Linked DNA regions of Astyanax mexicanus. The protein of the gene in region 3 interacts with the protein of the main gene of each other region in a pairwise test. Links are inferred from orthologs where the notes say so. Each region holds a gene or a part of one and is shown on either strand. Other genes may lie near its edges. The genes, in order: mipol1, ddx17, bysl and thap1.

Region 1 (7,826 bases), on a different chromosome or scaffold from region 3:
AAGGCTATCTAAATTATGATGATGTATGCACTCTTTTTTTTTAAATAAAAAAAAAAATACAGTTGGTCAGTGTTGAAGAAATCCAAAAGAAAATCAACATTAAGTGTATTGTTCACATAATTTATCACAATAAGATAAAATACCTTAGTTTTGCAGACCTTTCTGTTTCGAATACCACCAAACATGTTACAAGTTTGCATTTTCACAGCTTTAGAAGCTTTTGTACCCAAATCTGTGGTCTCCATTGTGCCAAAACCACTGCACAGACCTGTTCCAGTGCCCATGCTCTGACTGAGGCTAGCAGACGTAATGCAAGCTGCAGAAGGATGAAAGCTCTCCAGTGTGGAGGCAGACTACAGCTGGCTTCTACAGTGCTGCAGCTTCAGCCAGAACAGCCTAATCAATGCCTACATTCACTGCCTATGGAGGAACTAATGTGGGGACACTATTAGCTAGATGACAGATTCAATGTTAAACAAACACTGTGATGCCGAATAAAAAATGAAGATTTTTTTATGTATATGCAAAAAAAGATCTATTTTTTATAAAAGAAAAGGTAACCTAATAATTATTTTTTTAAAGCCCATTCAGCATGGACTGCAGGATTATTTTAGATTGCTGGTTTCTTTTATAAAGCTATAATTCTGCTTGAATACAGTCCAGAGGGTAAACCAGGCTGTTGTTGTTGTTGCTGCTGCTGCTGCGGTTTCCAACAAGTAACTTAACGTTAAAGTTATCTAACGTTAGTTAGCCAACCTAGCTAACCTAACTTGAGGTGTCTTTATTTTTTGTTTAAGTTACTTGTTATAAATGTACTTGAATGTATAAATTCAATTTAACAAAAAAAACAAAAACGAACTAATTTGGTAACTAGCTTATCTAAGTTAGTTAACCTAGCTAGCTTAGCTTAGCTTAGCTAACGTTAACTAACTAGTTAAGTTAAGTGGGCTATTCATTAACATTGTTTACACTCTGTTTATCATTATTTATCCACACAATTTTGAACAAACTTACCGTGAACTCCTTCACTATAATGAACGAGGATAAATATTATCCAAAACTTAATTCCCATTTTAGCATCCTCTGAAACGCGACTCGGTCGCTTCACCTCAGCTGAATCAACAAGACCAGCAACTTTAAACAGGCGCGGTTGCTGAATCGCTAATTTACTCGGTATTCGCAGCAGCAAGTGCCGAACAGCGGCAGCAGCAGCTCCACAGTCCCGTCCCCAGAGTCTCCAACGCAGCCAGCAGCAGCAGCAGCAGAACCCCGCTCAGACCTCATCCCCGCCTGAACACTCTCCATACTCCACACACAGCCGAGCAGTATCCAAACATCCCGGCTTCACGGTCTTGGTTCAGTAAAGGAAACTGGACGGAGCTCCTCACACTTCCAAATGTTTCAGCGCTGTGGGGGAATGTGTGAAATCCCACACAATGCCCTCTAGAGACCATCTGCTGAAAAAACACCAAAACTCAGTGGATCCAGCCACCACCTCAAACCCAGCTCTTACAGAGGGCAAACGATATACAGCTCTAAAACAATAAGAGACCACTTAAAATGATTTTCTTTGAATTTACCAAATTAAAAAACCCTGAAATATAATCAAGAGGAAGATGGATGATCACAAGCCATCAAACCAAGCTGTACTGCTTGAATTTTTGCACCAGGAGTGGTATAAAGTTATCCAAAAGCAGTGTGTAAGACTGGTGGAGGAGAACATGCCTAGATGCATGAAAACTGTGATTAAAAACCAGGGTTATTTCACCAAATATTGATTTCTGAACTCTTAATTTGATTAAGAACTTGTTTTCTTTGCATTATTTGAGGTCTAAAAGCTCTGCATCTTTTTTGTTATTTTGCCCGTTTCTCATTTTCTTCAAATAAATGCTCAAAATGACAATATTCTTATTTGGAATTTAGGAGAAATGTGGTCCGTAGTTTATAGAATAAAACAACAATGTTCATTTTAACCAAACATATACCTATAAATCATCAAAATCAGAGAAACTGATTCAGAAACTAAAGTGGTCTCTTATTTTTTTCCAGAGCTTTATAAGTATATAGAAATCACTGCATAAATATGCACAAATAAATAATTTAACTGATTTTCTCTACATGGCAGTTCCTAAAATCTCAACTGAAGAGTAGGGCCTGGTAGTTGCCAAGTGTACCAACAATCCAAGGCCAAATGTTTGCTTAGAACCAGGCCACAAGAGGCTAGCACAAATTGTGTGTCTAGTAACATGTTTGAAAAAAAGTGGTGGAAAAACAGTTAACCCATACGTACCATGTTAAATATATTTATAGCTATTTTCCTAGCTATAGGACCTCTAGGCCATTGACAAACAAATCTGTACATATCAGTTTGCATTTACATTTTTTGTACACTGTACCCTAAAACCCCACACTAAATAACGTTATCATTAAATGTGGTTTCCTTTAAGAGAAAATCCATCACTATCAAATGGCAAAAATAAATAACAGTAATGCTCTCATCAAATGTTTAGAATTTGCAAAGCAGATATTCAGTAAATAAGGCTTGTTCCCATTATTTGATAAGGGAGGAAATAAGTAGGTAGTGATCGTAGACCTAGGGGCTGGAACTTACCATAAAGTACCTTCTAATTTGGAACAGGATCTCCTCTCAGGAAGAGAAGCAGCCACACTAAATAAGTGTACACAACAGAGATAGATAGATAGATAGATAGATAGATAGATAGATAGATAGATAGATAGATAGATAGATAGATAGATAGATAGATAGATAGATAGATAGATAGATAGATAGATAGATAGATAGATAGATAGATAGAAACACATAAAAGTAAGAATATATTTAAACATAAATGTCCTTAGAAACATACTAAATAATTGTCTTACAATATGTTCTCGTTGTCATCTTGACCTTCTTTATTTCTATGATTTGATGAGCAGACAAATAAAGGCATTTTATCATCTCTCAGGCCTCATCTGTTCAGGCCTTGAAGATGTTTTTGCTGGAAGCTGTTTATGATTTTTATAGGACTGAGATGTTCTGCTCTTATCAGTACACTTTTCTTGTGCTGGGCAAAACTAAAAATAACAATAATGTGAGCTTTGACCACAAGAGTATGAGCTACAGGAAAACAAACTAAACTCTCCTCAGAATGGCCTACATGACCGTTTCACATAGCGTAAGGTTGTGTAGAGACATTTTCTAATCACTCATTTCTTTTCAACTTTTTCAGAGACTTTAAAAGGCATGAAGATTATTCAACTGCTAGAGACTGATTGTTCTTAGGACAAGGAGAGGACAAGATTATATGAGATAAAAACTTGTACACTCATCTTTATGCTGTTGGAGCCCAGTAATCTCTCTTTTCAGAGATGAAGAGCATGGTATTAATATGACATTGTTGATGTCATATCGATAGATGGCATTTCATGTTTTTAAGTTTAGTCATTAATATTAGTAAGTAATTAGCAAGATTTTAAATGAGATTAAATGGCACTAAAATATAGTAATAGAATTGTAATAGTAATAGAAATGCACTACAGGTCAGATGTTTTAGAACACCCCCACATATATCTGATCAAATATGAGATGCACAAAAATATAATGGCTGTAACCAAGTCTGTGTTACTTGGGGGAGGGAGGACATCCAACTAGTATTTGATTAATTCCCACTTGTTTCATGATGTGTCAGTGTGTAAGTGCCAGACATTTAAAAACTGTGGTGACAAAAGAGGGGTTAGGTGTAAAAGCTGTGGATGAAAGCTTGTCCTGAATCCACAACATAAACACTGTAGAGTATGTCTATCGGCATAATGTTACGTCCACATCATGTATTGCACTAATGTTAGTTGCTGTAGTTTAGTGCTAAGTTTAGTTGTAATGTTTTTAAATTTCCATCTTAAATAATAAAAATAGAAAAATATGTACTTTGACTTCCAGTCTCGGAGTAAACAACATTTCCTAAGTTTCAGACACAGTTATTATTTATTTTACAAATACATACATAAATTCATAATGGCTGTTTACAGCATATAGAGGGTAATTATTAATTACTAAAATTGCAGACTAATTAAACTCAATAAAACTTTATGTTAGAGTACAAATCTCATCCCTTATCAATTGGGGATGAGCCCTGCATTGTGTAAATTAGTTAATGAAGTTAGCTAAATCTTGGAAAGCTATTAAAATTGCTTAAGTCACATTTTATTTAGACCTAGTTTTAATAAATTAGCCACACTTGTGACATTATCCTAAAGGTGTAGAATCAAATGATCTGTTCAGCTGAGGGTGTAGGAAATTTTATGTAGGTGGTTATTTTAGGAAGGTAACAATATGAAAAATATTAGATTTAATTAATATTATTAATTCCTGAGCAGTCAGCATGTGTCTTCAGTTCCTTATAAATAAAACAGTGTGAAGGTTGTAAAGTCACATATCTGTTAAACATGCAGCAGCTACAAATAACAAATACAAATAACTGAAATGTATAAATCATTTAAAAGCATGTTAAAAATAAAAAAGGGTTTGTTGGGTTAGTTAAACACTTTAAAGGATTATTAAAAAGAATCGTTGCCAAAAGCACATGCTTACATAAAAAATATATATATAATGTACACGATCTAGAGTGAAGGTTAACATTCCTCTATGTTTCTAAAATGTGTTTATTCAGAGAAAGTTGTATTGTTACAGATTGGTGTAATCAATTTCAAAAACTATGCTTTAGAGACAAAATGCAGGTTATACTGAAATTTACCCATAGGACCCTTAAACCTTGTGTAGTGCACTAGGTAGCTGGTGATTATATAGGGAGCGATAGGTCGTTTGAGATTCGCCCAGACCTAGTTTGAGATGAGCGTTTTCCAAAACCCATCGTCTGTCCTCCTCTAGTGGACAGATCGCGTATCATCAGGTTTTCTGCTCTGTTCACTTCCCCCACTGCTCTCCTCTGGGCTGTGATCCGGAGCCTGTCCCGGGCTGTACTGTAGGAAGTCTCTCCGTGACTTTTACACAGTAGTGTAGGTAACGTACACAGAAAGTCAGCCATGCTCGCCGTGGTTTCCATGGTAAGTTACAAAGCCATGTTGATTGCGAGTCACTGAATGCTAACTTTCACTTTGATATTCAGCTCATAAACGGAATAATAACTTGCTCACAAATAAGTTTTGACAGTGAACGTAGTTAACTAGGTAAACTAGTGAACGAAATCACAGGTTATGTGTGGTATTGTTGTAACGTTAGTTAGCTAACTAGCTAGCCAACTGAGCTAGCAGTGAAGCTAAGTTAGTAAGCTAGGTGAGCTAACTTAGCTAACTTAGTAAAACTGGTTGCTAAAACTTTATACGTGTTTTATTTTGTGCTCTGCTTGTGTGTCACCGGCTCCCCGTCCAAAGGGGGTTTGTTGTTTCTCTCCTGTGTATCAAGTTGCCTGTAGGTTAAGTGTAAACGGAGACGCTGCGTGTAAAGTCCTGCTGTCAGATAGAGTTATCTTTCAGTTCTGACTCATGAATTTAAGGAGCATGGCACACGACGTTAAAAGCGCTGTCCAAAGGGCGAAACATAAAATATCAAGTCTGGAGAATGAGCTGTATTGTGCGAGGTGAGTGCTGGAGTGTTTAACAACTTTCTGAAGCTCGGTGTGAAACAAGAAAAAAGAAAGACTGAGTAAAACACACAGACACACACACAGCAGACGTTTGGTCTAGTGGAGCTATGGTTATAAATTTATTGGTTGTTCCTTTTTTTGCACTAACTGAGTCTCAAACTGAACTTAAGGGATCTTATTTGTTTTCTTGGCTTCTTTTGTGGGATATTGTAATAATTAAGAGTATTTAACACATTTGACCAACACTGCAAGCCAGCTAGTAATACCAACAGTGTTGATTGTTAGTGTGTAGTGTCTTTATAATATTTAACTTATATATAAATCACTTGAGACAAATATATTTACATTACATTGTCTAAACAAAGACTTTTAGGGTTTTGATGTGAAATTGTTCATTGTGTAATAGAATTACTAGGGTCTGCTTCCAAAATGTATGTATGTATGTAAGTAGTGGTATCTGACAACAAAAAGTATGAACTATTTTCATTTTGATGAATGCCCCCACATGCACCTCCACTATGGCTGTATGCTTTTTTTGTGAAAGAATTCAATGTAAAAGTAAAGCACCATTATTTTATATTTCACAGAGGTGTATATTAAAGAAGTATAATTGCTGCACTAAAATGTGTACCTGCACTCTACTGGGTAATTATTCTTTTTTACAAAAGATGTTGAGTACTTAAATACTTCCGCAAGTGTGATGCTTAAAGAACACTTCATCTACTACTTAAGTCCATTTTTGATAAAGCACTTGAGCTTTTACTCAAATCTCATTTCATGAACTGAAAAAGTATAGAAAAATAGTAATAGCAAATTATTTTCACAGATGTCTCACCTTGCAGAAATTTAATTGTTGTGAGGAGTTTGCTTGTAAGATGTCCTTCTCTTCACTGTTCTATTAAAGAACACTGCACAGTAGAATAGTGCATCTCCACTCCTGCGTCGCTTTAACCTTCGTGAAGGGCGTTGCTATCACATGCGGATTTGTTTCACCTTTCTTGCTAACATTGACTTCCACAGTTTCCTTAACTGCTATTGAATTAATTTATCAGCTGAGAGCACTTTAATTCTTTTTTATGCGCTTGCCCTGCTTTGTGGACATCAGTTAGCTGCTAAGAGAAGTCCAAAGTTATTGAGAACTCAAGGTTTGCCATTTAAGAAACGTATCATGCCCCAGAATTATAATATGCAGCTTCCTTATGATGAGCATTACCTGCCAAACCTGTACTAATTAATTGCTAGTTTAAAAGTACAGATCCTGAATACTTGAAATGTTTTTCAACCTCTCTTTGTCCCTCAGAACAGGTGTTTTTTGTTACTTTGTGTTTGATAGCTTTGTAAATGTGCTCTAATGTTTTGCTTGCATTTAATTAATTTTCTGGAGCTCCAGTTTTAACAGTTGTGGGTCTGTGAACCCCAAATTCTTTGTTCGGATTTGTATTCATTTTGCCACTTTTTTACTACTGCAAAGTTCTGCTGCTGCTGCCACTTAAAATACCTGTTCATCTGTTAAAGAAAACACTGAACAATGACTTTAAATAAACGCCTCCTTGTTCAATATAAACTATTCAGTCTTTTAATTTATTAACGTTTTTTCTGGGGAACATGTTCGGTTGCCAAACAGTTCTCTAACCCTTTTTATGCCTTGGAATAAACCAATAGTTTATGGTAACTTCGTTATGGTTGTACAGTAAAAGTTGTTCCATTTTTCAGGCAGCTGTGATTTTGTTGCTATAATAATCCAATAAATGCTGTGTATGGTAAGTGGTTGCTATGGTATTCCAGATACTTCCTATTGTGTTGCCATGATATTGGTAGATGGTAGTTTCTAAGGTTTTGCCAAGTGTTGCTACATGCTGTATTGTATTGTGTTGCTATGTAACTGTTATGGCATTGCTGTGTGGTTGCTATGTGCTTGCTGTGGTATTCCAGGTAGTTGATAGGTTGTTGCTGGCTTTGCTCTATTTTCTGGCTCAAACATACATAGTCCAAGCAGAGTAAAGACTTTTGGCACCACTAACCAGATACCCCTCGAGAGAGTACATACAGTGATAATGGAGCAAATGGAGCAGACTGGATTTAACCATGACCTAAAGTACAGTATTAGCATTTGTTGTTGCTAAAGGAACTATGTGGTGGAATGACTTGGTGATGGAGAGTTTAGCGATAGATCTGCAGCCGTTTTTGACCAAAGTTTTTGTATCATAGCTAGAGTAGCAAACGTTG
Region 2 (6,925 bases), on a different chromosome or scaffold from region 3:
TTTATACTAGGATACATACGTCTGCTATGTTCTTGCTGAGTGTGACGTGACGTGCAGGTGTTATGGATCGTGTATAAACCAATAGGATGTCAGAATGGTATATGTTTATACTTCTCATCCAACCACAATCAAATTTTACCACACTTTATATGTATAAATGGATTTATCTGGATAGGGTTCAAAACAATGGAATAAAAAAAAACAAGCTGAAATGAAATGGGAGTAACAAGGCTATTTTTAAAATATAAGGAGTAGAAAGTACAGATAATTGTGTAAAATTTAAGGAGAAGAAGTAAAATGTTATCTGAAAAATATTAATAAATAGATAACCAACATTTAAACTCAAGGAAAGTAACGAAGTAGTGCATTTTACAAAATGAGAATACCATAGAAAAGTTATTTTATTTCAGTAGTTCAGTTTAAAATGTGAAACTCATATTTTATATAGCTGTATTACACACAGAGTGATCTATTTTAAGTGTTTATTTCTTTTATTGCTAATGATTATGATTATGGCTTACAGCCAATGAAAACTGAAAATTCATTGTCTCAGAAAATTAAAATATTATATAAGACAAATTGGTACTTTTGGCAGTGTGCCCAGTGTACCAAGTTCTGCTGGAAAATGTAATTCGCATCTCTCTCTGCACTTGGACTTTGGACTTGAAAGAACACAGTGGACCAACACCAGCAGATGACATGTCTCTCCAAACCATCACTGATCATCAGTTAAATTTGCATTTCATTTTAAAATCAAGGGAGCAGAGTCTGGAGGAAGACTGGAGAGACACACAGTCCAAACTGCTTGAGGTCTAGTGTAAAGTTTCCACAATCAGTGATGGTTTGGAGAGACATGATGTCATCTGCTGACGTTGATCTACTATGTTTTATCAAGTCCAAAGTCAGTGCAGAGTTTTCCCGGAAAATCTTACGGCACTTCATGCTTCCCTCTGCTGACAACTTTTATGGAGATGCAGATTTAATTTTCCAGCAGGACTTGGCACACTACCAAAAGTACCAATTTGTCTTATATAATATTCTAATTTTCTGAGACACTGTTTTTTGGGTTTTCATTGGCTGTAAGCCATAATCATCAACAATAAAATAAATTAACGTCTAAAATAGATCACTCTGTGTGTAATACATCTATATATGAGTTTCACATTTTGAACTGAATAACTGCAATAATGTAAATTCATTTATTCTGAACATTTTTTGAGTTGAAGTAGTATAATTTGTACTTCATTATTTGTTTTACTTCTCTGTTGGATTAAGGCTCAATTTAGTAAAGGAAACCTGATCTACATTCAACTTGGCCACTTAGTGCTAGTTTCTCTTTAAAACTGGGTCTCTACCTGTGTGCCGCAAAACCACAAGGTGACATGTAGTTGCATCTCCAGAGCCAATGACCGAGACAGAACCTGTAGAGGAGACATACCTCTCTTCAGAACAGGAGATAGATAACTACAGTAAGATAAACACAGTCAAACTGTAGAGACAGACTTCAGAACAGGAGATAAGTAAGTTTAACTACAGTCAGATAAACACAGTTAAACTGTAGAGACAGGCTTCAGGACAGGAGATAAATAACTACAGTCAGATGAACACAGTTAACCTGTAGATACACAGAGACTCACTGTCCGCCGGTGTCGTGGCTGCGAATTCTCTCTGCTGAACGTAAAGGAGGCGCTTGGGCTCGACAGTCAGAGCGGGTCTGGACCGGAACTCTTTGGCGTTTTCCTTTAAGAAGCAGAAGCAGGTTTTAAACACTGGGATCTGAGATCTGTTACTCGAGCTGAACTGCTGTAAAGCGGAGAAACGTTACTCACCTTTAGATGAGAATATCTGAGGAACAGGTCTGTAGTTGAAGTCACGCGCTCGACCCGTCTGTTCTGAACCAGGAGGGGCATTTTAATATTTTAATCCAGTCGTTAACTCAACATGAAGCTCTAAATAAAGTTCAGCATTACAGAGAACACACTCTCCTCACTATTTAACTAGAATCTGTAATACAGTACATCCAGACAGCCTGAGAGAACCGGTGTTCTGTCCAGTTATGATACCCATCGATACGTGCTTCCTAAAGGCACTGCACATGCGCTAACCTACACTTTTTGATTATTTATCGTGTTTTTTTTTGTGCATTAAACAAATTGAACTCACTGTCATTGCAAAAAAGTGTAAATGTAAATTAATAACAATAATGAATACAATAATTATTATAAAAAATACAAAAGCAGTTTGTAATAAGCTCTCGTTGCCATAACTTTACCATGACACAGTGATTTATGCTGTATCCATAAATACTAACGCAACATTTACTGGGATACATTCCTACTGGGAACATGCTCTAATATGGGGCTTCTTTATTTTTACAGTTAAATATACACTTGGGTAGCGCGGTTTGACAAGGTAACCCAACTCGACAGAACACCGGAGCACTTCCTGTATTTTCACTTCAACGTCATGACCACACATCAAGAGACCAGTGTTTTTTTTTATTTAGTTTTTTGGCCAAAATTGTGTTGTTATAATAGATAGAATATACGTGCAGAAGGGATAACAACAATAAAATGATATAAAACATGAATTTAAAAATAGTTAATAAATTGCTACTGTTTTATAATTTTGTACTTTTTTGCTTGTATTATTTTTTAATATGATTTTGCTTAATGCATTCTGTGTAAAATATGTTTTCATTAACCGCAACTGCGCAGATTTCTTCAGTCTACGCAGGAAATATACGCGCAGTCTCTGCAGAGCTGGTTTATGAAGAGAGCACCCACTTCTTATCGCTACCGTTATAATCACAGAGAATTGCTGCCCGCCGTTAGGGGGAGCCCGCAAGAGAGTCCAAAATAAGTGGAAGATAATGGAGCTAAACGGCTAAAAACTCTGATTACAAATAGTACATTTCCGCTTAGCCAAGATATTGCTTTAAATTTGAAACGTAGGATTATGTATTTTACTACTAAAGCAAATAATACACGTCTATTTTTCAGTTTTTCTACAGTAATAATATTTTAGGCAGTAAAGACGCTAGCATTATTGCTACTGTGAGCTGACTGGTTGGTGAGCTAATACTGGAGTTACAGCCAAAACATTTTCTAAAAAAAGTGGAGTTTAAAAGCTTTGTTCTGTGTTGGGAAAATGAGTACATTTTAGTATAAAAGTTGCTCCATATGAACACATTCATTTTGGACCATAGACTCTCTGTTTTGGACTCACTCAGGAGCGCCCCCTGGTGGTCAAACAAGCCTGGAGGAGATTCTGAAGTGAATTTTCTCCTCTCTATAGAATCTCTGGTATCTGCTGGTGGTGTGCTGCTTTCGTACGTTACCCGTCGCAATCTGCACCCTCTAGGTTTCGGTCTGGGCGGGCCAAAACACCTTTTAGTTGTCGCTTCAAGAATTTGACTAATTTTACTATATAAAGCTCATCTCATTTATCTCATATAAATTATTAAAGATAACGTGCTGACTGAACTACCTTCAACACACCTGTTTCACCTGTAAACACAGAAATGACTCAAATTAGTATTTTAATTTCTCTTACTGTTGCCCTTCTTGATGTTTATCAGTTTCCTCCCTTTAATACATCGTTTCCTCAATTTCACAAGAAATACTCTTTATTTGAATAGTCTTTCCCTCAGATTAGAGGGAAAACAATTTTCTAAATTTAAGAAATTGTTGATTAATTTGGGGACATTATTTATTAATTATGATAAATATTATCTTATATTTTTCCTTGATAATTTAGAGGTTCAGTAGTTCGCCTTTTAGAGTTAGGATGTTTCTGTGACAACAACGACAATATATAATCGACACAATTTTGAGTCAAGCGCAAACAACAGCCCTCTCATTGGGTCCTAGGGGTGCAGTTTGTGTCGGGGTGCGGAATTCGGCACCACACTGGAGGATAGGGGGCGGGTCTTCGGCCTTCAGCGAAGCAGTCGGACTCTGACAATTCGACGAATTGTTTATCGAATAAAGTTTACATTTAGATCAATTTTATTTGAAGAAAATCAAATAATTCGGTTGGTCGGTCGTTATTATTCGTGCATTGGTCGATTTTAGACTTGCAGCCGGATTTTCTGAGGAGCTTCACGATTGAGACTGTAGTTAATTTAGAATGCTAAGCTAACAGTTAGCAAAACAACAACAAACACAAACCCAAACCCGAGTTCTCAGCTAAAAGTTGAGCTTATTTTTAAGTTTATTCATTGTTATCACTTATAAAGTGATATTTATTATTTTTCTAGTTGGTTTACTGAATAATTTACAGTATAAAAATATCAGTCGTTTAGTGGCTGGTTAATTAGTTAAATAGTTGCAGTGTAAAGTGGAGTTTGTGTAAAATTCTGTAAAATGAGGGGAAGTTCCTCGTATGGCGATAGAGACCGAGATCGTGGACGCGACAGGGGGTAAGAACGAGTTTCTGTGATTTAGATTGTTTGAGTATTTCCGTTTCTGAATTTCCAAATAACCCCAGTAATCTACACAACCTACAGAACTGTATTTGATGTAGTCTTTAGTACGAGGCTGAAGTTGGTTTGATATTCGCAGCTCCAGATTCGTTTGGCTCGATATTCGCAGCCTCGTATTCCCCGGCTGAAGTTGGTTTGATATTCGCAGCTGCCGCTTCACTGAACCACCGTGAACTAAAGGGAGCGTTCACAAACACCCGCTGTTTATATTAAACACCTCACAGATCAACACTGAAGGAGATAGAATGAAGAAAAGCAGTACATCTGTTTATTAACAATGTAAATATACAATATATTATTAAATATAATTTTGTATATTGTAAAATATTTGTTTTAATTACTGAATTTATAATTATATATTACAATAAATAATTAAATATATATTTAATATAATTATATTTTAAAAGCCATTGCGCTCAAAAAATATGAGGCAGATGTTCAAGTGTGATTTTGAAGAACTTTTTCATGTTGGGCCAGAACAAATACACATGATCTGAAGAGTACTAGTCTTCTACTTTAAGAAAAACCTGGAATTAGCCTGGCCCAAGCTGATTTTATACTTTAAAATGAACTGGCAACATAGCCTACCAATCCATAATGCACAATTTTTTTATGTAAAGCTGATGTTCTAGTGTAATTTTGAAGGACTTTTTCATCTTGGGCCAGACCAAATACACATGATCTGAAGAGTACTAGACTTCTACTTTAAGAAAAACCTGGAAATAGCCTGGCCCAAGCTGATTTTATACTTTAAAATGAACTGGCAACATGGAATACCGATCCATAAAGCACAATTTTTTTATGTAAAGCTGATGTTCCAGTGTGATTTTGAAGGACTTTTTCATCTTGGGCCAGAACAAATACACATGATCTGAAGAGTACTAGTCTTCTACTTTAAGGAAAACCTGGAATTAGCCTGGCCCGAGCTGATTTTATACTTTAAAATTAACTGGCAACATGGCCTACCGATCCATAATGCACAAAAAAATTGAATATAAAGCTGATGTTCTAGTGTGATTTTGAAGGACTTTTTAATCTTGGGCCAGAACAAATACTCATGATCTGAAGAGTACTAGTCTTCTACTTTAAGGAAAACCTGGAAATAGCCTGGCCCAAGCTGATTTTATACTTTAAAATGAACTGGCAACATGGAATACCGATCCATAATGCACAATTGTTTTTATGTAAAGCTGATGTTCCAGTGTGATTTTGAAGGACTTTTTCATCTTGGGCCAGACCAAATACACATGATCTGAAGAGTACTAGTCTTCTACTTTAATGAAAACCTGGAATTAGCCTGGCCCAAGCTGATTTTATACTTTAAAATGAATTGGCAACATGGTATAACGAGCCATTTTGCACAAAAAAGCCACTGTTCCAGTACAATTTTGAAGATTTTTTAAATCTTGGGCCAGAACAAATACACATGATCTGAAGAGAACTAGTCTTCTACTTTAAGGAAAACCTGGAAATAGCCTGGCCCAAGCTGATTTTATACTTTAAAATGAATTGGCAATATGGAATACCGATGCATAATGCACAATTTTTCTTTATGTAAAGCTGATGTTCCAGTGTGATTTTGAAGGGCTTTTTCATCTTGGGCCAGACCAAATACACATGATCTGAAGAGTACTAGTCTTCTACTTTAGGGAAAGCCTGGAATTAGCCTGGCCCAAGCTGATTTTATACTTTAAAATTAACTGGCAACATGGCATACCGATCCATAAGGCAGAAAAAAGTTTAATTTAAAGCTGATGTTCTAGTGTGATTTTGAAGGACTTTTTAATCTTGGGCCAGACCAAATACACATGATCTGAAGAGAACTAGTCTTCTACTTTAAGGAAAACCTGGAAATAGCTTGGCCCAAGCTGATTTTATACTTTAAAATGAACTGGCAACATGGAATACCGATCCATAATGCACAATTGTTTTTATGTAAAGCTGATGTTCTAGTGTGATTTTGAAGGACTTTTTAATCTTGGGCCAGAACAAATACACATGATCTGAAGAGAACTAGTCTTCTACTTTAAGGAAAACCTGGAATTAGCCTGGCCCAAGCTGATTTTATACTTTAAAATGAACTGGCAACATGGCATACCGATCCATAAGGCAGAAAAAAGTTTAATTTAAAGCTGATGTTCTAGTGTGATTTTCAAGGACTTTTTAATCTTGGGCCAGACCAAATACACATGATCTGAAGAGTACTAGTCTTCTTCTTTAAGGAAAACCTGGAATTAGCCTGGCCCGAGCTGATTTTATCCTTTAAAATGAATTGGCAACATGACATGAAAGCCATTTTGCACAGAAATAATGAATATAAAGCATTGATTTTGAGAATACCAGAACTCTTCATCTGATGTGTATTTGGTCTGAAAAAAAATCCAAAATCATACTGGAATATCAGCTTTAAATAATATTTTTTTTGTGCTACCAGGTTGC
Region 3 (7,577 bases):
TATCCGGACGGGATTAGTTTCTCAGGGGGTTTTGGGGTAATCTTCCACTGTGATTTTATTCCCGTTTCTCTGAATTGTGCGGTCCTCCAGTAATTTTAGACCTGTCCGGACGCACATCTCTGAGTTTCGTTTCCTCACGTTTAATTAAATAGCTATTTGTCCACTGCTGCGCACCATAATTACATTTGGGTGTGCGTTTCCATGGAGATCCACGTAAACACAACAGTGAGTCGAAATGGAGGAGCTACTGAACACGATGTCACGTGACTAAGAAAGCCTAAAAACTCACTGGACCTCCTGTTTTTTCAATTGCAGTCCGGATGCAGAAGTGTGTATTAATTTTCACGGACATCCCCCTGAGAAACAAATCCCATCCGGATAGGGCTATAGAAACTCCCTAAAAAAAACTTGATTCCCACCCTAAATTCATAGTGATGATCTGGAATTAAAGTCTGACCTCCACAGAAATCCCCCTGGCGCTGGAGCTCATGGTCACCGTGCCAACCTTCACCAGGAAGTCACAGTATCGGTAGCGTGCACCGCGGCTCTCGACCTTGTGACCTTTAGCGTTCTGGAAGTGGCTCTTCAGCTTCACCATCAGGACGTCGAAATTAGCATCTGCAGTCAGGTACGGCCCCCCCTCGTACAGAGCCAGGCAGCTCAGCGGAGTCTCCGAGTTATGCATCACATACAGCAGCTTAGAGGGCTGACCTAACACACACACACACACACATACACACACATACACACACATACACACACATACACACACACACACGTTATATATATAATTATGTGTTACATATATCATTATTTGCCTGTAAGCAGGGGCTCTTCAAATGATGAAAAACAACAAGCTAAAGCCTTAGTCTTTCCTTTTTCATTTAACAATCTTTACTGAAATTCACTTTTTTATTTTACTAAGTGCAGTAGAAGGGAAAAGGGAAATACTGGACAAAATGAGCAGTGAATAACTCTATTTAAATGTTAAGTGTGAAATGTGAACATCATGTTTCACTTCACCCCAAGTCCATTTCAAACCAGATTTCTCCTTTAACTTTACTCAAAATGTGGCCTCGTTGTCAAATCAATGGTAAAATACGAAAAAATGTACACATATTTTGCCACTGATTTTGTATCACAAGGTCACATTTTGTGAAAGTTAAATAGAGTTATTTCTTACTCATTTTGCCCGGTATTTTTCCTACGGCCCCTAAAGTGCCGCATGGCACTGAAGACTGAAGGGATTTAACCTCAATCTTGGTCAAATTGAGGTAACATTTAGTTTTAGTGTAGTAAAACATGATAAAGAGTACTAACCTTAGTTGAATAGGCCACCTCCGCTCTCCTGCAGCTTTCCTTGATCCAGTAATTTTGTGCTTTTTCCCAGCACTCTTTATAACGTGCGCTTCAGGGCATCCATTGCCCCTGCAGATAAATAAGTTTTACACCGTTATCCAGCTCAAAGTAGCTCCACACCTCATTGTTAGACTCCGGAGAGCCCTGACATTTAAAACGAGGCATTTAGAAATTTAAAAAGTGCACAGGAAGCTTCGGGCTTAGGTTTTTAACAAGATTCTTGTGCATTTTTAAAGCTCTTAATGCCTTGTTTTAAACGTTAGAGCTCTTCAGATTCTAGCAATGAGATGTGGAGCTACTTTGAGCTGGATAACGGTGTTAAAAGCAAATTACCAGTCGGTAAGTGGATGCCCCAAAGCAGCCGTTGTGAAGAGTGCTGGGCAAAAAGCACAAAATTAATGTATCTCAGAAAGCTATGGGAGAGTGGAGGTAGGCTATTCAACAAAGGGTTAGTACTTTTTATGTTTATGGTGGTATTTTATATACAGTGTATTTACCGCTGGCGTTCCCTGTGGTGTGATACGTCTCACAGTCCACAAAGAAGCTGCCCTGCTTCACTCCTCCCAGCTGCTCCAGCTTCTTATGCAGCTGATCCACCGTCTGCTGCACACTCTTCCCCTCCGCCACCGGCACCTGACACACACTACAGCGCATACACACACACACACTGGAATACAGGTATGCTACTGTACAAAGTATAAAAAGTAGTCCTGCTCTATTGCACACTACTTATTACATAATTAAAAAGCTGAGAAATAATCAGGGACACTAGGGAACTAGTTAAACTTACTTATTTCAGTGCATTTTAAGTAGGGGTGTATTTATTTAAGTAGGGGAGTATATATATATATATATATATATATATATATATATATATATATATATATATATATATATATATATATATATATATATATATATATATATATCTCCAGATGATCCAGATGATATATATCTCCAGATGATCCAGAACGCAGCAGCACGTCTGGTCTTCAACCAGCCAAAACGGGCACATGTCACCCCGCTGCTCATTGAGCTCCATTGGCTACCAGTTGATGCTCGCATCAAATTCAAAGCTCTTACAATCGCCTACAAGGCGGTGACAGAACAGGCTCCTTCCTACCTGCACTCGCTCCTGAAGGCTTACGCTACCTCCCGGCCGCTGCGCTCCTCCAGTGAACGTCGCCTCGCTTTGCCAAAAACTCACACAAAGCAATCCAGACTGTTCTCATACAGAGTTCCCCAATGGTGGAACAAACTACCTTCCACTACCAGATCAGGAGAATCTCTCGCTATCTTTAAGAAACTCCTGAAGACAGAGCTCTTCAAAGAGCACTTACTCTCCTAACACCTCTAACTAACTACCTTCCACTACCAGATCAGGAGAATCTCTCACTATCTTTAATAAACTCCTGAAGACAGAGCTCTTCAAAGAGCACTTACTCTCTTAACACCTCTAACACACTAACTACTTCTAACCTCATTTCCTTCTTCCTCTCCTTCACTCCTCTATCCTATTATTCCCCTGTGTCCTCCTTTTATCCCTATCCAAAGATGTTTTACCTTGAAACTTATTTTACATTGTACTTGACTATTGTAAGTCGCTTTGGACAAAAGCGTCTGCCAAATGTAATGTAATGTAATATATATATTTTAGTAATTTCAAAAATATACACAGTTCTGTAAAAAATAAGAGACCACTTTATGATGATGATTTTCTTTGATTTTAGCAAATTGAAAACCTCTGGAATATAATCAAGAGGAAGATGGATGATCACAAACCATCAAACCACCAAACTGAACTTGCTTGAATTTTCGCACCAGGAGTAAAGGCAAAAAGTTATCCAAAAGCAGTGTGTAAGACTGGTGGAGGAGAACATGATGCCAAGATGCATGAAAACTGTGATTAAAAACAGGGTTATTCCACCAAATATTGGTTCATGAACAGCAGTTTTTGGTTTAGATCACAAAGGCAGCATAAAGAGAAAAACCCTGATCTACAGAAAATCTCCACATGTCAGTTACAAATATATTAATACTCTTTATATCTCGGGAAACCAGTAAAAATCGCCAAACTGAACTCTTTTATTCATTTATTCTTCTTACCAGGTAACTCCCATCTCTGCACAGCGCGGCCACAACAGCTTCAAAACACCCAGCCAGACTTCATCCGGATACTGACAAAATAAAAGTCTTTCTAAAGTCGTCTAATGTCAACTTTTACAATTTTAAATTTCATATACATGCATCAATATATACAACAAAATGTTTTCGCACATTAAAACTATTATTACCTGGAGAAATTAAATAAACGTCGATATTTAAAAGGAGGTGCTGCATACTAATCTGTATTCCAACTCAATCTGCACTCACTGGTTTCCGGTCACACCGCCTGATTAGAATGACCTTTTTTTGGAAAAGTTTATTAACATTTTATAAAGACAAACATTAACACAACATAAAACAAAAAGGAAAGACAAGATACTTTTGTAAATGTAAATATACATGATCAAGAAAACATATAATTCTGTTTAGTTTTTAATCTAATATTTGTATTGGCGAATATGATCTTTTTAGTCTTTCCTCGAAAAAAAAACATGTATATTATAAAAAAAATAGTTAACGACTAACAATTGGTCTGTAAAAATGGAAATAATAATAAATACATTATTAAAAAGAGAAAAATATCTAAATGCACGCTATGTAGCAAATAAAATCATTTATGTAATATAATTGTGTATATGTCATTCTAAAGTCGTCTAATGTCAATTTTATACACGCATTAATATATACAACAAACTAAAATTGCACACTAAAATTATTATTAAAATTATTAATTTGAAAAAAAATAATAATAATAAATCTCAGCCTGTCCTTAAATAGTACAAAATATAATTATGACTTAAATGGTATAAAAGTGATCAAAAACTGAAAAAAATTATATAATATTAATATAGTAAAAAAAAAAAAAAACATACATTATGTATTAACTATTTAAAAGAAAAAAATTATAAATGCACGTTATGTAGTAAATAAAATGATTGATGTGGTTAGCTAATAAAGCTGTGTAAATTTCATTTTAATACAGCATGAGACCCTATATGTTACCAAAAGAATTAAGATTTGTAAAAAAAAAAAATCGCTTTTACATCAGGCACATCTAACCAGCCACCGAAGGGTCCTACGGGTGCAGTTTTCGGCGTTGTCAGTTTTCGGCAGAGCACCCCCTGCGTTACCTCACCTCCATTAGCGTTGAGGGAAACCCACGTGTGTGCGACAGAGGGTTTTGGTAGAACTTAAAACTCCATTTATATCTGAGCAGTCTGTCGCCATGCCGAAGGTAAAGAGGGATAAAGGTGGTGGACCGGACCGGGCCGGAGGTTCTGTAGCCCTGGCCGATCAGCTGCTTCAGTCCGACACCATCAGAACCAACAGCCGGGTCAAAAACCGGGGCAGAAAACAGGAGGAGGAGGACTATGTGGACGAGAAGCTCTCCAGGAGGATTCTGGAGCAGGCTCGGATTCAGCAAGAAGAGCTGCAGACTGAGTTCGGAGTCACACCAGAGGCCAAGAAGAAACCTTCTACTGTTCTGGGCAAGTTAAATAAACGTGTATACATTAATATTATCACATGATAGACCACCACCAGAGACAGCAGTGCTGCTTGAGTTTTTAAACACCTCAGTGTCACTGCTGGATTAAGAATAACAAAAAAATAAACTGTGCAGCAACAAATTCAGATATTTTGTCTCTAATTTTACATTATCTGTAAGGTGGAGCAGCTGTAGGGCTGCAACTAATGATTATTTTAATATTTAACTAATCTTCTGAATATTTTTCAGATTATTCGATTAGTCAATGATTATTTCTGCCTTCCCCTCTGCTTGCTGTTGGTAGAGCTTCTGTTTCTAGCTTTCACTATTGGTTCAAAACGATAGAAAACAGCTAAACATGGGATTTAAATGCCCTTTACATATCCAGAACATTGTCTTTTGAATATGGAAGGTGCTGATCTTTAGTGAGGAAATGTGAAATCTGTTGTGATTGGGCTCTTTTGGAGACCCAGTTACCCTTCTAACATTGTGTTTGTCCCCAGTAATTTGTGTAGTGCTACTAATTGACGATTAGTCGACATCGAAAATTTGGAGCCGACAAATTTTTAAAAATCGTCATTGTCAATGATATTGACTAATCGTTGCAGCCCTAATCAGCTGTAGGTAGGAGTGTGTAATAGAGTGGAGGATAGTGAGAGATTAAACACGGTGTTTAAAACCATCAGCAGCACTACTGTATCTGATCAACTTACTGTACCAGCTCAGCACACACTAACACCTCATACACCACCACCATGCTAATCAGTGCTATTACTGCGAGTAACCACCCACCACACAAGCTAAGTGCTCTGTTGTGGTCACCTTAAATTCAGTGTTATTTTTTTCTTTTCATTATTTCAAAAATGTTCCCCAATGTAATTTAATAATAAAGTCTTCCAAACTGTGCAGAAAAACACAAAAGTGTTAAACAAACCAGAATATGTTTTATATATTTTACATTCTTCAAAGTATCTCCTCTTGCTTTGATGACAGCTCTACACATCTTGGAAAATAACTTTAATTTCTTGCCGTCTTCAAGTGATTCTAGTAGATATATAATGTAAAATGAGAACAGTGTGAATTTTTCTTTTGCTAAAAACAGCAAAAAAAAAAAGTAGTACCCTAATGTGATAATTAGTGGTGAGTGATATGGTACAATATTTCAGGGTATAATATCGTTAACTGTATTTGAAAATGTTGGCAATATTATTGCCTGTGATATGATATGGCCCTAGTTGTAAAGTTATAAATCTGATTATTTTATGTTATTGAAATCATTATAGATTGCTGTTATCATTATTAACAGTATGTGTTGTTTGCAGGTCCACATACTCAGGATGGAGACTCTGATGAGGAATGGCCAGAGCTGGGTGCCATGGGAACAGAGGATCATGAGGTGGGGGCGGTTGCTGAGGTGGAGGTGGATCCGGATGATGAAAAAGCCATACAGATGTTCATGAACAAAAACCCACCAGTGAGGTAAAGAACACCTGGACAACAAGGGTAACAGTGCAAGGTGGCTGCTCCACTATAGGGCAGTGTGGCTCTTCTTATTAATAATGTACTCTTGCTCTTTCTTTCCTGGGGCAGTCCTGTTGAGTACTAGTTTCATCATATCGCTTTGATGTGCGGCTGCGCTAAAGGATACTTTCAAAGTTCTTGAAATTTTTTAGATTGACTTAATTTCTTAGTCATAAAGTATTTTTTCTTTTTACTTAGTTGAGTATTTCTTGCTTCTCATAATCTGGATTAGAACAGTACTCAAATAGAGTTATTCACTGTATACCTGTAACTCTACCTCTTCACTACTTTACAACTGATGCTCTCAAACACATTAAGAGACAAGAAATTCAAGTAGTTGCAAACAAAAAAGATGCAATTATATCTCTGATCAATATTTAGTCCCATCCCTATGCCACACCACACAATATAAAGCATAGGCACGCGTATCCTTATGGATGTTGGAAAAAACATCATACTTTTTGGTTGTTTCCATGCAAATATATTGTTGCAACAAGCACAACAAAAATCATTCTCTCTAATTAAACATATTATTAGTTTATCTTATTTTTACTTAATGTATTTAACTTTTTTTTCAACATGGCACTGTGCTGGTATATATATTTTTCCAAACATATTCACTTGAAAGATAAATAACATAATGTTTAGTGAAAGTATTTAGTGCACTTTTATTTGCACTGATGTTTATACAGGTTCTGTTCTGTTTACAACACAGTGCTGTCATTTCCTTTTAATCCCCCCATCACTATTGCACTATTGTCTTGTGTCTCTTGTCTCGTGTATGTCTCTCTGTGTCCATGTCGTATTGTACGTTTAGTGTCTTTCATTTTTATATTTATATATTTTTTTATCTTGCTGTAATTTTTGGGAAGGAGAGTAACGTAATTTCAATCCTCTAAAAGTCCTGTACATATGCAAAACTATTTGATTTGAATTGATCTTATTTTTACTTTATGTATTTGGATTTGTTTAAATATAGGACTGTATTTTGCTGGTATATATTTGTTTGAACATGTTCACAAACTTCATTTTAAAGAGAAATATCAATGTTTATAGTAAAAATTATTTTTAATGTATTTATTTTTTTTTTGTAAAGGCGCACTCT
Region 4 (7,534 bases), on a different chromosome or scaffold from region 3:
TTTAATAGAAGTGAATGGAAACTTTATATTACTCTATAAGTAATTCTGGAGAATTTCTTTTGGTCAGTCACGGTGAAATTACAAAAAAAAAAAATTACAGCAGATATATATGTATATTTGTATACATATATATATATATATATATATATATATATATATATATATATATATATATATATACCAGTCAAATTTGTGGACACATAGCTCTACCCCACTAGGCTGTTCCCTGTTTCAGCTGCATATATGCTGATTGTAAATTGTGTGCAGGAGTGACAGATCACAGTATAAACCAATAGGGAGTCAGAATGGTATATGTTTATACTTCTCTACATCCAATCACAATCATATTCACTCTATCTGGATGGAGAGATTTATCTGGATAGGGCTTTTGAGAAGCCGGAATAAAAACGAGCTCAAATGAAAAAGGAGTAACGAGGCTATTTTTATTAAAATGTAACGAGTAGAAAGTTCAGATAATTGTGTGTAAATGTAAAAAGTAGAAGTAAAACTTTATCTGAAAATTAATTACTCTAGTAAAGCATAGATAACCAACATGTCTACTTAAGTAAGGAACCTCTGGTCAGAGCTGTTCTGGGGCACGAGGGGGACCTACGCAGTATTAGTCAATTTTACGTACAGATCTTGTGTTATACTGCCACCTTATGGCCGGATATTCAACTGTCTCTAATTAGGAAAAGCAATCTGTTATTGGAACGGTTTTAATTTATTTGAATGTCTCTTTATTTTTTAGCGCTTTTGCTTTATGCCTTTTAAGAATATTGTATTTACTTATTTTACTTGTTTAACACATTTATGTATTATTTAACTAGTTAATTAATTTGTATTAGTTTTAACCTTTAATTTTGAGTTGTATGTGTTTTTTGTATTATTTTTGGATGTATTTACTTTATTTTAGCTTTCCTGACTGATTTTACTATTTATGCTTTTTTCATATTAAGATCATTCTTAAACCTATTTATTTTATTTTTATTTAATTTTTACTTTTGTATCTGATTTGTTAATCTATTATTAATTAAATCTTAATTTTATTATCTTACATAAGCTACATTTATTTAATTTTTCTATTTTTTCTTTTGATTTTTTAACATGCTTCTTTTGCACTGTTCTTTTTGCATAAATTGACATATTTTTTAATTAAAAAAATAATTTTATGAATTGTATTATTGTATTTTTTTTTCTTTTGTCTTTCTTTTTCAATCTCTGTCTATTATAAATTCTCAACTTTATTGAAAGGTCATTAGGGTCACCTTCACTGTACTCTGATTAATAGTTGATTGATTAATTGATTAATTGATTAATTGATTGGCTGACTTTTTGGAGTCCTCACTCACTTACAAAGTGAGAAATGTAGCTGTCAAGCAGATTTTGATACTGATATCCTAGTAAAACACTTACATACATGATAAAAAATATATGTTTTAAACATAAACACTACATATTATGCAGTCTATATACCACACAACTACACACACAGCATTAAACACATAATAAAGCATTTATCTGTATGTAAAACACTCTGTGTATATAAGCTTTTTGTCTAATTAGTGCATCAGCACAGCCTACCTGCCCTGCAGATAAGTTCAGCATGACTCCAGACTGATGCTGAGGCTGAAATCCCACCAGCGGCAGCAGCAGCAGCAGGGAGATGATCAGCAGCAGCAGCAGCATGGTGGATCCTCACAGCTGTGCTGGGGGAGTAAACACACTGTGCAGCTCAGACTCTCTCTCACTGTGTTAGCACCACTACTACTCTGGGTTTCCTGCTTCAACCTGCATCTAAATTTCCTGTTTACACCACAATCACACACCCAGCCAGACACACACACATACAGCAGACAGACAGACAGAAAGCACACAGACAGACAAACAAAACAACAAGCAGAGAGACAGTAATGCACACAGACAGACAGCAATGGACACAGACAGACAGCAATGCACACAGACAGACAGAAATGAACACAGACAGGCAGACAGTAATGCACACAGACAGACAATAATGCACACAGACAAACAGACAGTAATGCACACAGACAGACATAAATACATACAGACAGACAGGCAGTAATGCACACAGACAGACAGACAGCAATGCACACAGACAGACATACATACATACAGACAGACATACAGCAATGCACACAGACAGACATAAATACATACAGACAAACATGCAGTAATGCACACAGACAGACAGACAGCAATACACACAGACAGAGAGTAATGCACACAGACAAACAGACAGCAATGAACACAGACAGACAGACATACAGCAGACAAATAGACAGACAGAAATCACACAGCATTGAACACAGACAGACAGACATGCAGGCAGACAGACAGGCATCACACAGCAATGAACAGACAGACAGACAAAACGACAAACATGCAGATAGACAGACATACACACAGACAGCAGACAGACAGCACACAGCAATAAGCACAGACAGACAGACATATACACACACAGAAAGACAGCAGACATACAGAGAGACAGCACACAGCAATGAACACAGACAGACAGCACACAGCAATGAACACAGACAGGCAGACAGTAATAAACACAGACAGACAGACAGACAGCACACAATAATGAACACAGACAAACAGCAGTAATGAACACAGATAGACAGCACACAGCATTAAACACAGTCAGACAACAGACAGACAGTAATGAACACAGACAGACAGACAGCACACATCAATGAACACAGACAGCAGACAGGCATACAGTAATGAACACAAACAGACAGCACATCATTAAACACAGACAGACAACAGACAGACAGAGTACTGAACACAGACAGCAAACAGCATTAAACACAGTCAGACAACAGAGAGACAGACAGACAGACAGACAGTAATAAACACAGACAGGCAGCAGACAGAGAGACAGCACACAGAAATGAACACAGACAGACAGACAGTAATGAACACAGACAGACAGTAATGAACACAGACAGACAGACAGCGTGTTTAATCTGAACACAGGTGTTAATGCAGCAGCTCCGTTAGGATGCTCATATGCAGCACGTGCAGTTTAACCACGTGTTTTTATATCCGCCACAGCCCACTGCGTGTGTTTAATGTGTGTTTTTAATGAAGTGAGTAAAGCAGGGTGTTAATATCTCTGTTATCAGAGTAAAATATGAATAATAAAGCTTTAACTGCTGTTCAGATCTCCTCAGAGGAATCTACGCAGCAGCGATCTGTTTCCTTATCGCATCTACGTCACCAAAACAGGGAAATCCTTCCGCGTGGGGCTGCGTCCCATTACGCAGGTAGCGTGCCTGTTCCCTACACCCTATGTAGTCACTATGTATAGTGTTTAATCTAGCGGTTTGTTATGAGATGGATGGATGGATGGATGGATGGATAGATAGATCGTATTACCTTTTTTTATTTTATTACATTTGTTACCTGACAACTCTATAAATAAAATTATATTTAGGTAAGAAATTCACAACTAGAAAACTTGAATTGTTTGCCATCAAGCTGCCGGCATTAGAGGGAGCAAAATTGGCCCGGCTCCCTCTGGGTGGGTAGATGGCGCTCTCTCCCCACATCACTCCTAGGGTGATGTCTGCAGCACAGGGCGCCTGTGAGCTGATGTACCGGAGCCGAGCCGCTGTGCTTTCCTCCGAGCGAGCTGGCTGCTCGGTGATGCTGCATCAGCAGCAGCTCGATGTATCGGAGGAAGCATGTGTTAGTCTTCACCCTCCTGGTGTGTTGGGGCATTACTAGTGATCGTCCTAGTGAGTGGGTTGGGTAATTGGCCGTGTAAATTGGGGAGAAAATGGGAAAAATTTGAAATAAAATTATAAAAAAAAAAAAAGAAAACTTGAATTGTGTTTTAATTATTGCAGACTAAATGTACATAATGTTGTTATTATTATTATTATTATTATTATTATTATTATTATTATCATTTATGTTTAACTTGTTTCATTTTATTTAACTTTTTTGTAACTAATGGCTCCATGTTTCAGGTAAGGTAGAGGGAAGGAATTTGTTTAAAGAGTTTAATGTCTTGAAATATGTAAATAAAAAAATACTGTTGAATGAATGATGTACCAAGTTTAAAATAAATAAAAATATGCATTAAAAATAGTTGTGCATGCATTATTAAAATAAACTGTTTACTTTTACATTGTTCAAGTCCACTGTGTGATTTAGTAAGTTGATGAATTTTGGAGTTCCCTATATATATAATTTGCATATTCCACCAAATCAGTGCCATTTCAGTCCCCAGGAAATAACTTAAAAATAGCATAGTGTCTTGTAGAACAGTAAAATGACCCAGTTGCTATAATGTTAAGTTTGGAATTGCTTAAAAATCCATCTGAATCCTGAATTAGTCACATCAGTTTTCACACTTTATTATGAAGGGAAATAAAAATTTAAGGGGAAAATCTATTTCTAGGGCCCTAGGTAGGGCGCATGCGCGCAGATTGGAGCGCACGGGAAAGTTGCGACGTGCTGATCACATGGACGGATGCGTTTTCCTCCATCTTGGAGCTGGTGAGGAACTGGTGAGGTACTACTGGTGAGGTTCTCCAGCAGCAAAGAGGAGGAATAAGTACAGCAGAGATCCTGAACCCCGAGCTGATCCTGCAGCCGGGCTGATCCACAGCGCAGGACCTCCAGCAGCCATGGTGCAGTCCTGCTCCGCCTACGGCTGCAAGAACAGATATCACAAAGATAAGAACGTCTCATTCCACAAGTAAGATCCTCCATCCATCCCTCTGCACTGCCGCGAGCCCTGTCTGCATAACCTGGCTCTGCTGCTTCACAGGGTGAAGCTGGGTGACCAGTCTATATTTTAGCCACTACAGGACTTTTTGTATTTGTCTTGTTCGGGTTTGATGGTTTAACTGGTCTTTAATTCATTTGATCAATCTGAACAAACCAGATTTCCAGTATGACCAGGCTTAACCATACTGGTAGACCAGGAACATTGGCATGAGTAAGTTAGGTTACCAAGAAATAGCTGGTTGACCAGTATATGGTATGTTCATGGTTGACTTTAGTGGTTTAGCTGGTCTACCAAGCTAGTTCACCAATATGACCATTCTTCCAAAATTACCCCACAACATAAAGCTGGGCAACCAGTATGGTCAACTCTTAACCAGCATGATTTTGTGTCAGTTTGATGGTGTGGCTGGTCTACAAACATGATCAACCTGACCAAGCTAGGTCACCAGTATGACAAAGCATCAGCATAGTTGGCATAACTAATTTGGGGGACCAGCATGACCAGCAAGAAAAAAAAGCTTGTTGACCAGTATATGCTATGTTTATGTTTGATTTTGATAGTTTAGCTGGTCTACAAGGATGGTCAGCCTAACCAAGCCAGGCCACCAGTATGTTTGATGGTTTAGCAGTTCTACAAGCATTTGATCCATATGCACAAACCAGATAACCAGTATGACCACATTAATCCATGCTGGTATACGAAGAACATGAGCATGACAGTTGTTGTTGGGTGACCATCATGATCAGCAAGAAATAGCTGGTCGACCAGTATATAGTATTAATGGTTTGGTCTACCAGGCTAGGTCACCAATATGACCATTCTACCAGAATGACCCAGCTGAATAACCAGCATGACCTCCAACATAAAGCTGGTTGACCAGTTGAGCTCTTGCCCAGTATGATTTTGTGTCAGTTTGATGGTGTGGATGGGCTACAAACATGATCAATCTGACCAAGCTAGGTCACCAATTTGATCATTCTATCAGAATGAGCAAGGTGGTTAACCAGCGAGACCAAACTGGATCATCAGCATGACCATCAACATGGTTAAAGCTCTTGATTTTGATGTTCAAGCTTTAGCAAGCTGGTAGACCAGCGTACTTGGCATGACAAATTTGAGTGACCAACATGAGCAGCAGCAAAAGAAAGCTGGTCGACCTGTACAGGGTATGTTTATTCTTGACTTTGGTGGTTTAGCTGGTATACAAGTTTGATCAACCTGACCAAGTGACAGGTGCATTTTAAAAAAAATTAGAATATCATAGAAAAGCTCAGTAATTCAGGTCATAAAGTGGAACGCATGTATTAAATAAATACAGTGCATGCAGTTTGATCTAGTTTAAGTGTTTATTTCTTTTATTGTTGATGATTATGGCTTACATCCAATAAAACTCAAAAATCAGTATATCAGAAAATTAGAATATTATGCAAGACATATTGCTAACAATGTAACAAAAGTTATTGGTAACAATGATATTCTATTTTTGAGATACACCTGTAGGTCACCAATATGGCCATTCAACCCAAATGACAAAACTGGTTGACGAGCATAATTAAGATGATTAACCAGTAAGACCAAGCCCATTAATTAGCCTACCCAAGCTGGTAGACCAGGATAATTGGCATGATTACTAGTATGATCAGAAAACCTTTGTCGACCTAGGGATGCACCGTGGTATGTTTATGTTTGATTTTGGTGGTTATCTGGTCTACAAGTATGGCCACCGATATGACCATGCTACGGATCTTATTCCAGGTTCCCTCTCGCGAGGCCTGACATCTGTGGGAAATGGGTGGCCGCCATGAGGAGGACCAACTTCAAGCCCACCAAATACAGCAACATCTGCTCACAGCACTTTACCAAAGACTGCTTCAAACGAGAATGCAACAACCGAGTGCTGAAGGAGAACGCCGTGCCTTCCCTTTTTAGCTTCAACAAACTGCAGATAAAGGTACAGAAACCGCACAACACACCCAGTTCCTCCTTATGTATATTATTTATATGTCCTGGGCTCTGAGTGGCTCAGTAGACTGACACTGACTCTAATGACCTCAGGATTGCAAGTTCGAATCCCTGGTAATGCTGCTTCGGCATCAGCAGCAGGAATCTGAGAGAGCACAATTTGCTATGCTCTCCACTGTGGTGGGGATAACTGTTTTAGCTAAATATGGCAGAAATTTGGGTGAAGTATTACGTAAATAGTGATAATCAGTTAAGTATCTGCTCTGTTTGGGTTTTATAGATAATTTTCATATGATGAGAATTTCACACATTAAGTTATTTACATTGTGCTGCATTTAAAATGCTTTTTTACATGCTCTGTGCAATAATACATTTTCACCAGAGAAGTCCTCAAATCCACAAACCCTACAGACTGTTGCTTTAAGGCAAAGAACTTTAGTGCTGTGCAGTATACCTGTCCGACTGGTGTATCAGAGGAGAAATTAAAACTGGTATGCAATTTTCGCATACTGTCATACCGCAAGAGATGCTGCAGTGCGTTGTGTATAATCTTTAAAGAAGCATACTGGCTCAGCTTGCTAACTACAGCTAGCCAGTTAGCATAACAAGCTAACACACTAGAGTAACTATAGCTCAACTCTGTGGAGTAAAAGTCTCTTCTCGTTCTCTCCTGTCTGGAGAGAAATAAGAACAGCACATTATCTGAGGAGCTCCTGCTGCTGTTCCTTGCACTATGAAATTGCGTTATCAATCCACAGCTTAGAGAAAATTTCCTCTCGTTCCCCAGACGAGCCCAGA

The links.
Region 1: the proteins of bysl (region 3) and mipol1 interact in binary tests that used the Homo sapiens proteins (3 or more experiments, as listed by UniProt). The two-hybrid records come from large-scale screens. The link is inferred for Astyanax mexicanus from reciprocal best matches to the Homo sapiens genes BYSL and MIPOL1.
Region 2: the proteins of bysl (region 3) and ddx17 interact in binary tests that used the Homo sapiens proteins (3 or more experiments, as listed by UniProt). The two-hybrid records come from large-scale screens. The link is inferred for Astyanax mexicanus from reciprocal best matches to the Homo sapiens genes BYSL and DDX17.
Region 4: the proteins of bysl (region 3) and thap1 interact in binary tests that used the Homo sapiens proteins (3 or more experiments, as listed by UniProt). The two-hybrid records come from large-scale screens. The link is inferred for Astyanax mexicanus from reciprocal best matches to the Homo sapiens genes BYSL and THAP1.

What each region holds. Positions count from the first base shown.
Region 1 is NC_064421.1:18,849,512-18,857,337, forward strand, and holds the start of mipol1 (mirror-image polydactyly gene 1 protein), read left to right. Parts: upstream 1-4,823; 5' UTR 4,824-5,061; intron 5,062-5,419; 5' UTR 5,420-5,499; coding exon 5,500-5,594; intron 5,595-7,826. Other genes in the region: tyrosine-protein kinase receptor TYRO3, read right to left, coding at 1,015-1,072.
Region 2 is NC_064412.1:31,361,782-31,368,706, reverse strand, and holds the start of ddx17 (probable ATP-dependent RNA helicase DDX17), read left to right. Parts: upstream 1-3,905; 5' UTR 3,906-4,367; coding exon 4,368-4,423; intron 4,424-6,925. Other genes in the region: ntan1 (protein N-terminal asparagine amidohydrolase), read right to left, coding at 1,356-1,421, 1,638-1,740, 1,830-1,910. UniProt on the Homo sapiens protein: As an RNA helicase, unwinds RNA and alters RNA structures through ATP binding and hydrolysis.
Region 3 is NC_064431.1:31,842,831-31,850,407, reverse strand, and holds the start of bysl (bystin), read left to right. Parts: upstream 1-4,575; 5' UTR 4,576-4,690; coding exon 4,691-4,952; intron 4,953-6,273; coding exon 6,274-6,430; intron 6,431-7,568; coding exon 7,569-7,577. Other genes in the region: med20 (mediator of RNA polymerase II transcription subunit 20), read right to left, coding at 458-711, 1,857-2,002, 3,466-3,479. UniProt on the Homo sapiens protein: Required for processing of 20S pre-rRNA precursor and biogenesis of 40S ribosomal subunits. May be required for trophinin-dependent regulation of cell adhesion during implantation of human embryos.
Region 4 is NC_064408.1:9,974,249-9,981,782, forward strand, and holds the start of thap1 (THAP domain-containing protein 1), read left to right. Parts: upstream 1-4,522; 5' UTR 4,523-4,670; coding exon 4,671-4,741; intron 4,742-6,529; coding exon 6,530-6,725; intron 6,726-7,534. UniProt on the Homo sapiens protein: DNA-binding transcription regulator that regulates endothelial cell proliferation and G1/S cell-cycle progression.